Linked DNA regions of Oryctolagus cuniculus. The protein of the gene in region 2 interacts with the protein of the main gene of each other region in a pairwise test. Links are inferred from orthologs where the notes say so. Each region holds a gene or a part of one and is shown on either strand. Other genes may lie near its edges.

Evidence for each region. The genes of interacting proteins can lie anywhere in the genome.
Region 1: the proteins of STK4 (region 2) and SAV1 interact in binary tests that used the Homo sapiens proteins (3 or more experiments, as listed by UniProt). The link is inferred for Oryctolagus cuniculus from reciprocal best matches to the Homo sapiens genes STK4 and SAV1.

The regions. Positions count from the first base shown.
Region 1 is NC_091443.1:25,525,514-25,530,595, forward strand, and holds part of SAV1 (protein salvador homolog 1), read left to right. Parts: intron 1-1,824; coding exon 1,825-1,968; intron 1,969-5,082. UniProt on the Homo sapiens protein: Regulator of STK3/MST2 and STK4/MST1 in the Hippo signaling pathway which plays a pivotal role in organ size control and tumor suppression by restricting proliferation and promoting apoptosis.
Region 2 is NC_091442.1:14,198,770-14,204,589, forward strand, and holds the start of STK4 (serine/threonine-protein kinase 4), read right to left. Parts: upstream 3,513-5,820; 5' UTR 3,409-3,512; coding exon 3,374-3,408; intron 1-3,373. UniProt on the Homo sapiens protein: Stress-activated, pro-apoptotic kinase which, following caspase-cleavage, enters the nucleus and induces chromatin condensation followed by internucleosomal DNA fragmentation.

The DNA of each region.
Region 1 (5,082 bases), on a different chromosome or scaffold from region 2:
ACAAGTTGTAAGTGACTACATTGAGGCTAAAACCCAGACATATCTGACTTCAAGGTCTCAGTTCCTTCCAGCCCCCATATCATGCTATCAAAAAATATTTCCCTTTGAATTTAGTTATGAAATAAAAGTTGAAGATAAAATACATTGCTATTTGCACATTGTCTTTAAATTGTTAAGCATGGTGCATTCTAACCCTACTATAATCCGGTCTAATAATTAGTAACCTTTTCTGATAAATAAGCAAAACTTATATGTTTGGAGGCATACCCCTCCTGGTTTTGTCTCTGAGTCTGAAATAGATTATTTTGGCCTTCAGAATTCAACCTTTAATCTTCCCCTGTAATGCTCCCCTTTCTATCTGGCAGTTACTGCCTTCCTCACAGCACATTCAGGCTATTAGAATTAAGTGAAGCATGATGCCGTTTGTTTTGTTTTATCTCTCTGATTTAAAATAGGTTCTGAGGTATGCATTTGACGGTTGAGATGTCACTGGGAATGCCTGAGTCCCATAGCAGAGTACTGGGTTCAAGCTCCCTGCTAATACACACCATGGAAAGCAGCAAGTGATGGCAAGTCTTGGGACCCTGCCACCCAATGGGAGACCCAGTTGAGTTCCCTACTCTAGGCTTCAGCATGGCCCAGCCCCTGCTGTTGTGAGCATTATGGGAGTGGACCAGCAGAGGGGAAATTGTTTTGCCTCTCTCTGCCTTTCAAATAAATAGAATAAACAAATGGAAATTAGCATAAAATAGATTCTAATCAATCCTTACTACCACAAGTTCTCTTGTGGGGAGGGCGGTTCGCCTTACAGGTGGTATAAGACCCTTGAAATCATTTGATCTGGCCCTGCCAAGGCAGCCACAGGAGGGACTTGAAATTGTGTAAATCTACAGCAAGCTAATTTTAAATTGAAAATTTTGTATGGCCCACAAATGATTTTTGTCAATATCCAAATGGCTCTGGGCAGAAAAAAGATTCCCCACCCCTGTAAGTTGATAAAATAAAGAGGAAATACTGTGAATACTTCCAGCACAGAAACCACTCCCACTGTACTACATATCCTAACCCTTGTTTTCATCCTACAAGAGGAAGAAAGTATCCTTTCTCATTTAGAATTTACACCTAATTCTTAATTGTTACAAAAATATGGTATTCTAGTTTTAAGCCTGTTTGTAAGGTTACAACTTAGCTCCAACTTTTTTTATAGTCTCACTGAAGCTGTTTTTGAAAAGATTAAATACTAGCCAGAAGAAATATGTTAAAAATATGCAAATATTTTGTGTAGATTTATGTAACATACCAATTTCCAAAGGAAGGTGGATTTTATTTCCCTAGAGAATGATAAAGCTAGAGCTTAGAGGGCCGGCACTGTGTGCCATAGCAGGTCAAGCCACCGACTGCAGTGCCTGGCATCCTATAGGCACCAGTTCATGTCCCCGGTGGTCCACTTCTAGTCCAGTTCCTGCTAGTGTGCCTGGGAAAGCAGCGGAGGATGGGCAAGTGCTTGGGCCCCTGCACCCATGTGGGAGACCTGAAAGAAGCTCCTGGCTCCTGGCTCCAGCCTGGCCCATATGTCATGAGCATATGCGGAGTGAACTAGCAGATGGAAGGTGTCTCTGTTCTCTCTGTCTCCCTCTCTCACTGTAACTCTTTCAGATAAATAAAGAAGGCTAGACCTTTGCCATAGGAAAGTATCTTTTAGGTTGTGGAAGGAAGACATTTTCGGCAATAGGCACATTAAAAGATGCTTAGCTATTGTTTGTTCTCTATAATTTTCTGCTTAGATCCAGGGCCTTTTATCCTAATGAATGTCATTCTTCTTAGTGTCCCTCGGTATGATCAGCCTCCTCCCGTGACATACCAGCCACAGCAAACTGAAAGAAATCAGTCCCTTCTGGTACCTGCAAATCCATATCACACTGCAGAAATTCCTGACTGGCTACAGGTTTATGCTCGAGCACCTGTGAAGTAAGTGAATTTACAGCACACAGCTTTTAAGGGGTGAATAGAATACTGAGTAGAATCTTTGGACTGCTTGATCCAAACAGTGCCATGTTTTTCTTTAATTGAGCATCTAAGTGATATATAAGGATATCAGAGCTTATAAAGTGTAAAAGTTACTGATAAATATTCTATAAGCTTATGTGCATACCTCTGCTATTAGAGATACATTAAGAAGTTTAGGTTCATGGGGCTGGCACTGTGGCACAGTGGGTTAACTCCCTGGCCTGAAGCATGGCATCCCATGTGGGCACCGGTTCAAGACCCGGCTGCTCCACTTCCAATCCCCGCTGCTGCACTTCCAATCCACTCTCTGCTATAGCCTGGGAAAGCAGTAGAAGATGGCCCAAGTCTTTGGGCCCCTCCATGTACCCACATGGAGACCCAGAAGAAGCTCCTGGCTCCTGACTTCGGATTGGTGCAGCTCCGGCCGTTGCAGCCAACTGGGTAGTGAACCAGCAGACGGAAGACCTCTCTCTCTGCCTCTCCTCTCTTCTCTGTAACTCCGACTTTCAAATAAATAAATAAATCTTTTTAAAAAGAAAAAAAAGTTTAGGTTTTCAAAGGAGAGTAACATAATTAAAGGTAAGAGAAGTTGTGATAAAAGTGAGGGCCCAGGTAAGTCCTAAATAACGTGAGTGAGACAAAGCAGGATACAAGAATGTTGAAGAAGTAGTACAGAGCTGTGAGCTCTGGGATTAGGTGATCTGAGTTCACTTAGATTTTTTAACTTTGTAACCTTGGGCAGGGTGTTTGATGTAGTTTCATATTCTGTAAATTGGGGATAATTATAGTATCTGATCTTGAGATTATTAAAAATTTACTAAGAGGGGCTGGTACTGTGCACAGTGGGTTAAAGCTGCAGCCTGCAGTGCCAGCATCCCATAAGGGTGCTGGTTTGAGTCCTGGCTGCTCCACTTCCCATCCAGCTCCCTGCCAATGGCCTGGGAAAGCTGTGGAAGATGGCCCAAGTACTTGGACTACTGCACCTACATGGGAGACCCAGAAGAAGCTCCTGGCTCCTGGATTCAGTCTGGCCCAGCCCCAGCCCTTGGTGTCATTTTGGAGTGAACCAGCAGATGGAAGATACCTCTCTCTCTGTCTCTCCTCTCTCTCTAACTGTGCCTTTTAAATAAATAAATCTTTAAAAAAACATTTAATAAGAAAATGCAGGAGGTGATAGCTTAGGTAGTTGTGTCCCTGCCATCCACACAGGAAACCCAGAGCTCCCAGCTCCCAGCTCCCAGCTCCCAGCTCCCAGCTCTGGTCTGGGCCAGCCCTGGCTATTGTGGAGTGAACCAGCGGATAATCTGACTTTCATTCTCTGCCTTTCCAAAATAAGGAAAACAGTTTTTGATGAGCTTGGGAAATTCATAGCCATCTTTAAAGATTGAACTTGTGCACTTTCCTTTGAGCACAACTTTCCTTGCTCCACTCCTAATATTAAGAAGCCATTACTGTCCGGTGCCGCGGCTCAATAGGTTAATCCTCTGCCTGAGGCGCCGGCACCCCGGGTTCTAGTCCCACTTGGGGTGCCGGATTCTGTCCCGGTTGCTCCTCTTCCAGGCCAGCTCTCTGCTGTGGCCAGGGAGTGCAGTGGAGGATTGCCCAGGTCCTTGGGCCCTGCACCTGCATGGGAGACCAGGAGGAAGCACTTGGCTCCTGGCTTTGGATCAGCACAGCACGCTGGCTGTAGCAGCCACTTGGGGGGTGAACCAACAGAAAAAGGAAGACTTTTCTCTCTGTCTCTCTCTCTCACTGTCTAACTCTGCCTGTCAAAAAAATAAATAAATAAAATAAAGGAAGCCATTACTAAGGGTTTATGCAAGATAGCCAGTGTGCCGTGTGCTTTACAGTATACTACCTCTTTTAAGTCTTATGACATTAAGTAGGTAAGATTATTATCTGCCATGTTTCAATGGAGGAAAAACATTTAGATCAAAGTTCGTAATTTGCTCAGGGTCAGTCACTAGGAGTAGATCAAGGAGCCAGAATCCACACTCAGGCAGTTTCCTTCCAGAGTGATCTTCACCTTTGTGGTGTTTGTGTGTCATTAATAATAACAATCATTACTGAGCTCTTTAAGTACATTTTGAAATGTTCTTTAGATGCATTTTCTTACTGAATTCTAAATAACCAGGAACTATTACTATCCCCAGACAGCATCATAAGTGCTACACCAAACACCCACCCCTCATTGAGGATACTTAATAGAAATCTATGTGGTAGGTTGGCATTGTTCTTAGAATTATGACTAAGTGAAGTGTTTGCCTTCAGGGCTTTCGTTGGGGAAAACAGAAGTGGGTGCTGCTCAGATTAGTAAGGCAGTTTGATAATATTAGCAGTGGTATATACAAAGTGCTGTGATCACAGAAAAGCACGTGTTTGAAAGTAAATTATTCTTCATTGCTTCCTGTGTCCCTCCTTATCCTATACTTTTAGGTATGTAATCTTGTGTGAAGTTCCCCAAATCATATCCAAGTGAAGAAATAGAGGCTTTATCCATACTAAGTTTACACAGCTGTTAAGTTGTAGATTATGAATCTTGTTCTTTAACTTCAAAGACTATGTTCTTTTGTCATGACTGCTTTCTGATTTAATAATCATTTACTGAACAGTTACTGCATTCTTAGCTCTTTGCTATACATGTGTTATACATAATAATTGCATGTACTTTAACAGTTATTTAAGGTAATATTCGTTTACTCTTTTTTTGTAGTCTTACTATTTATTTCCTTTTACATAATTCTGAAACTAAAATTATTAACATAAAACAGCCCAAAGAATAATATGAGGTGATTGGATATTGAATTTAAAATAAATTAAATCATAATGAAACAAAAATTAAAATCTTTCATGTACTGTTTTTTTTTTTTTTGAAATATAAATACTTTTCTGTTAAAGGATGATCATTCATATAAAATTTCCAGGGTGCTAAGACAAATCTGTCCTATATTTTTACCATATTATTTTGTATTTATCACCTCTTTGCTTGTGTGCCTTTAAGACTACAGATTTGGAAAATAACCTTTTTCCTGCTAGGAAACACTTTTATTAGCTTTTCAGATTTTTAATTTTAAT
Region 2 (5,820 bases):
ACACTACACCTTCCCCCACACCATTACCTAATGGCAATACACTTTTTACAAATCATCAGTGCCTAGGTAAGATACAAATCTATCATCATCCACTTAGCCACACAGAAATGTCAAACTCATGAACACAAAGTATATTTCCTGTATCCAGGTTGTTAGAAACACACGCCATCCGAATCTCTGTAAAGACACTTATATGATGGCATTTATCAAGTAGTCACTCAGGCGTGGTTAATTCTCAAATCCCTTCTTCCACCTCGCAACTGCCCTAAGATTCAATTTATTTATGTATGTCCATCCTTCCTTCCACACAGAATCTGATATGGGTTATAAAAGAAATAAAGACAAATTGATGAAATAAAATTAACAAAACTGAAACTGTGTTCCCCTACATCCCAAATCATGTTTTAAGTCCTAACTCCCAGTACTTCAGAATGTGACTATGTATAGAGAAAGGGCTTTTAAAGATACCATTATGGTTAAATGAGGTTAAATGGGCAGGCCCTAATCCAACATGAGGGTACTTCAACAAATTCATGAATAATGAAACTAAAAGATAAGTCTACTGTGGTGCAAAAACATTGAGCCCCAAGCAGTTCTTCCCACAAGATGTCTGAAGTATCCTTGTATAATCCGTTTCCTTGTAAGACAAGACCAGATCACAGCAGCAGAGGGAAGACCACGTGAAGACACAGGGAGGAGACAGTCATCTGCAAGTCAAAGACAGAGACCTCAAAAGAAACCACCCAAGGCTGGCACTAAGGCCACCTGTGACACCAGCATCCCATGTGGGCTCTGGTCCACGTCCCTGCTATTCCACTTCCGATTCAGCTCCCTGCTAATGGCCAGGGAAAAGCAGCAGAGGGTGATACAAGTATATGGGCCCCGAACACCCATGTGGGAGACCTGGATTGAGCTCCTGGCTCCTGGCTTCAACCTGGTCTTACCCTGGCTGTTGCAGCCATCTGGGGAGTGAACCAGCAGATAGACAACTGATCAAGATATCTCTCTCTCTCTCCCTGTAACTCTTTCAAATAAAATAAATTAATTTAAAAAAAAAAAAAAAGAAACCATCTTGCCAAAACCTTGACTTCTGAGTTCTAGCCTCCAGAACTATGAGAAAATAACTTTCTGCTGCTTAAAACAGCTCGTCCATGATACCTCATAAAAGGCAGTCCTAAAAAACTAAACAAAAATCTATTAACCTGCTGCAAATTAGGAAGTCCAAGTCATGAGCAGGAGACACAGTCATTCAAGAACTCAGTCCTGCAATGCTCTCTTCTTGCACTTTTAGTACATTTTTTAAATCCAAAAGGTACAAGAATAAGCATGTTGGCCGGCGCGAGGCTCAACAGGCTAATCCTCCACCTTGCGGCACCAGCACACCAAGTTCTAGTCCCGGTCGGGGCGTCGGATTCTGTCCCGGTTGCCCCTTTTCCAGGCCAGCTCTCTGCTGTGGCCAGGGAGTGCAGTGGAGGATGGCCCAAGTGCTTGGGCCCTGCACCCATGGGAGACCAGGAGAAGCACCTGGCTCCTGGCTTCGGATCGGCGTGATGCGCCGGCCACGGCAGCCATTGGAAGGTGAACCAAGGGCAAAAGAAGACCTTTCTCTCTGTCTCTCTCTCTCACTGTCCACTCTGCCTGTCAAAAAAAAAAAAAAAAAAAAAAAAAAAAAAAAAAAAAAAACAGAGAGAGAGAGAGAGAATAAGCATGTCAAAAAGCAAAAAGATTTACTCCTCTGCCCGAAGATTATATAATCAAAGGCACAGGGAGAAGCAAAACTCAAGATCCCTAATCCTCTTTTCAATTAAACAAAGGTCTCAGAGAAGGAATCCAAGGAGAAGGAACGAATGTATTTCAGAAAGGAGCGTAAGTAGTGCACATTTGTAAGTGGCTCACTATGGTGCTGGAGTGAGCACCTGTTAACACACACAAGGACCTGTGACACAGGGGTGCTTCCAGTGAGGCACTTTAACAGCAGACTTTGGACCAAACCGCCTGGATACCAGGATCCCAGCTCTGCCTCTTACGATAAGGGGCCTCGGGCAAATCACCAGCATCTCTATGCCTCCGTTGTATTATCTGTAAAACAGGCATGTAGGAAAACCTGCCTCATGGGACTGTGAAGATCCAACCTGTCACTAAGAAACTGAACCACATGAAATTACCATTTTCATGTTCAAAAATGATCAGAATCAAACGGAAAGCACTTAAAACGGCGCCGGGCACCCCCTGAGCGCTGGGCGCAATACTAGGCACTGCTATTACAATCTCAGCATAGGACACTCAGGGGATCACCAGCCCCTCCGAGCCGCCTACTTGCCTTCTAGATGCGGGCCCCCAAGGGCGCTGCCCGGGCTGTCCGTCCCTTCCCTTCTTCACCTCTCGGTTGCCCCACACTCTCACACACGGAGCACTTCCTACTTTAGCGCTCATTCTGCTACAGGAAGTCAGATGTCTCGGTGAAACAAGCGAGCGCCACGGGCACCCCAGAGAAGCAGACTCTGGGTCTCTGCCCCCCGCTTCTCGCCAGATGGGGCGGGACGGCCTAAGACCCGGGTATCCACAAGGGAAATCAGCCCTACACGTGCACCCAGCGCCAGCCACCTCCCCGCTCTTGACCTAAAGCCATCCCAGGTAAAACCACAGAAGCTTCCAGTGACTCAGAGCAAAAACAGCGAACACACATGCGTCTCAACTCCTCTGGCTCTCAGTCTGCCCACCCTGGAAAATATCCTCTTACTTCCTTACCGACATGCTAACGCTGGATTTCGAAGGGCTTCAAAGGATGCGGGAAAAAAACTAAGAGGGCACTTTGGCTAGCATCCCGCCAGGGCGAGGGCACCACCGGGAGCCCCCAGGCGCTGCCGCCACGACCCCTCCCCGGCCACACTCGCAAAGCTTTCCGCCCAATGGCTCGCCCCCGGACTGCGCCCCTCCGGCGGGACTCAGGGCCCGGGCTTCCTCCCTGCTCCCTCTCGATCGAGCCTTTCAGCCAGACCCCTCGGAGGCCCTCCTGCTCCCAGGCGGGCATTCCCCGTCACCCCCGCGAGCCCCGTCTAGGACAGCTGTCCCGAGTGGTCCCTGGCCTCAGCCGGGGCTCCCCCTAACTTGCGCCGCGTTCCTCGGCAAAGTCCCGCACAGCGAGTGCTCCCCCCTCCCCGGCCAGCCCCCGTTTACCCGCTCCAGTGGGCGCTCCCTGAGTCGGACCCCCCCCCCCGCCAGACGTCCCCCTCCCACCCCAGCAGGTGCCCCATCAGCCGGGTCACCTCGCCCGCTGGTCCTTTCCCGCCCACACAGGGGTCTCCCCTCAGCCAGTTCCCGCCTTTTCCTCACTCGGTCGCCATGCCCCCCCGCCTGGCCCCTGGCCCCTCACCGGCGCGGCGGGTTCCTCAGCTGCACCGTCTCCATGGCGCTGCCGGCAGCCGCCCAGCCCCGCGCACTACTCCATCCTCCCCGGGACCTCTCCAGGCCCGCCCCGCAGACCCTCCCACACTTCCGCTTTCCGCCCCTACCGGAAGCAGCGCGCGGCTCGAGAGCGCGGGGGCGGCGCTGGGGACGCTGTGGGGGTCACGTGGTGCTGGACGTGAGTCACGTGTCGCGACGGGGCGCGAACCCGGAACCGCGAAGCTGCGGAGGCTCCTCCTGGCGGTGTGTGCTGTGTGGCTGCAAGCTGTGCGCGACGCTGGGTACTCGGGAAGCCACCTCGGCCTCGGATTGCCCCCGCATCTCTTGCCCGAGATACTGAGGCTGCCGGCGAGGCGCGGACTTGATTAGAACTGTTGATTCGTAAGCCCAGTTCTGAACGATTTGTCGGAGCCTATGCCGCTGCGGTGGCGCCTGGACGTCTTTGTACTGATCGTATCGGGTCCCAGATGGTCCCCTGCACATCCTCTCCTTGGCTGTGACAGAGCGCCAACCCACAGGTTGCTCCACCCTTTTTCTAAACAGCCTCACCTTTGGGTCTGCAGACATGAAAATGGCTACTGTTTATTTTTTAAATATCGTGGGAATTAGTAGAATGATTTTAAGGTTTATTCATTTGAAAGTCAGAGTTAGAGGAAGAGACCTTCCGTCTGTTGGGTCCCTCCCTAGACGGCTGCAACTGCCAGGGCTGGGTTAGGCCAAAGCCAGGAGCTTCTTCCAGGTCTAATACGGGAGTGCCAGGGGTCCAAACACTTGGGCCATCTTCTGCTGCTTTACCCAGGCCATTGTAGGGGAACTGGGTCAGAAGTGGAGCAGCGGGGACGCGAACTGGCTGGCTCCCATATGGGATGCTGGCTGTTGCAGGCCTCAGCTTTACCCGCTGTGCTACAACGGTAGCCCCCAAAATGGCTTTTATAGACACTTGGCTGACTTGATCTATTACCTCATTTAATCTGCATACGAAGCCTGAAAGGTTATCACCAGCATTATATTTATATCCTTATTTGACAGTGCTTACTACACTGTCAGTGTTACTAAGTAGTAACTCATTTAGTACTAACAGTCCTATAAATAATACTATTCCTATTTCATAAGAGCTGAGAGGTGAAATAGTTTCCCTCGGTGTCATACAGTTGTACAAGTTTGAGGATTTAAATCCACATGGATTTGACTCCAGAGGCTGCACACCAAACTGGGCAGCCAAGCTCATTTCTCGCTGGACCTGGAGACTGCTGTCTCCACTCGGAGCTCCAGTTCCCACTCTCACGATTGTGCAAGCTACCCCTTCAATAAGTGTTAGGAAAATGGCAGGTCCAGCAGAGAACTTAGACACAGAGCAACCTCTGTGATTGTCCTGCTTATCCCAGAATACAGCACCTACACCACACCTGAACAACTAGCTTTCAGGGCCACCCAAGCACGGCACCCCGTGTGCTCCCGGCAGGGGATAGGGCAGCGTTCCCCTGACCTAAGAGGAAGACATTTACTGAGAAGCTACCCTGTGCCAGACACAATCCTAGACTTCCACTTAGTCCTCAACACAGCCATCTGAAGTATGAGTAAGAATTATCCCCAGTTCACAGATAAGGAAGCTGAGACTCACATAGACACAGCTAGGAAGAACCCAGGACTGACCCCACAAAATCCATGTTCTATTTGGCACTCTGCTCTATTAGAAATGCATACAAATGGCAGTGGGAACCTGGGGAAAAAAAGATCGAGAAGAGTTTCTTCAAAGCTCAGGCAGCCATCACGGGTTCCTCCTCCTCGGGGGGTCGCTCCTGACTTCTGCAATCCCCAGCACTTCTCTTCTCCCTGCACTCTCGGTTTTTTATTCTCCAGCCCCGCTGCCCACTGGAATTTTCCTTCATGAAGGACATCTCTGATTGATGCCCACTTTTGAAAATAAATACCAGCAGGACTGCCATTGTGGTACAGCGGGTTAAGCTGCCTCCTGCTCTGCGGGCAGGTTTGAGTCCTGGCTACTCGACTTTGACCCAGCTCCTTACTAATGCTCCTGGAAAGGCAGCAGATGATGGCCTGAGTGCTTGGGCCCTGCACCCACATTCCAGATGCAGATGGAGTGCCAGGCTCCTGACTGGACTGGCTCAGCCATGAGGGGAGTGAACCAGCAGATAGAAGACCTTAAGTCTAGGTACTTAAGTCTAGAAGTCAGCAGTTGGAGTTGATTCAGTAACTCAGCAGTGTCAATTTCATCTTTCCTCTCCCATCCTACTCAGTAGGCTGGCTTTTCATACTTGTATTCATTGCCCTAAAGTTGCAAAATGGCTACTACACCTCCAGGTATTACATCCTTAATCCAGCACCACGCAAAGCAGAATAAGAACAAAAAAGACAATTTGGTCCTGTACCTCTTTCTTCTAGGGACGAAAACCT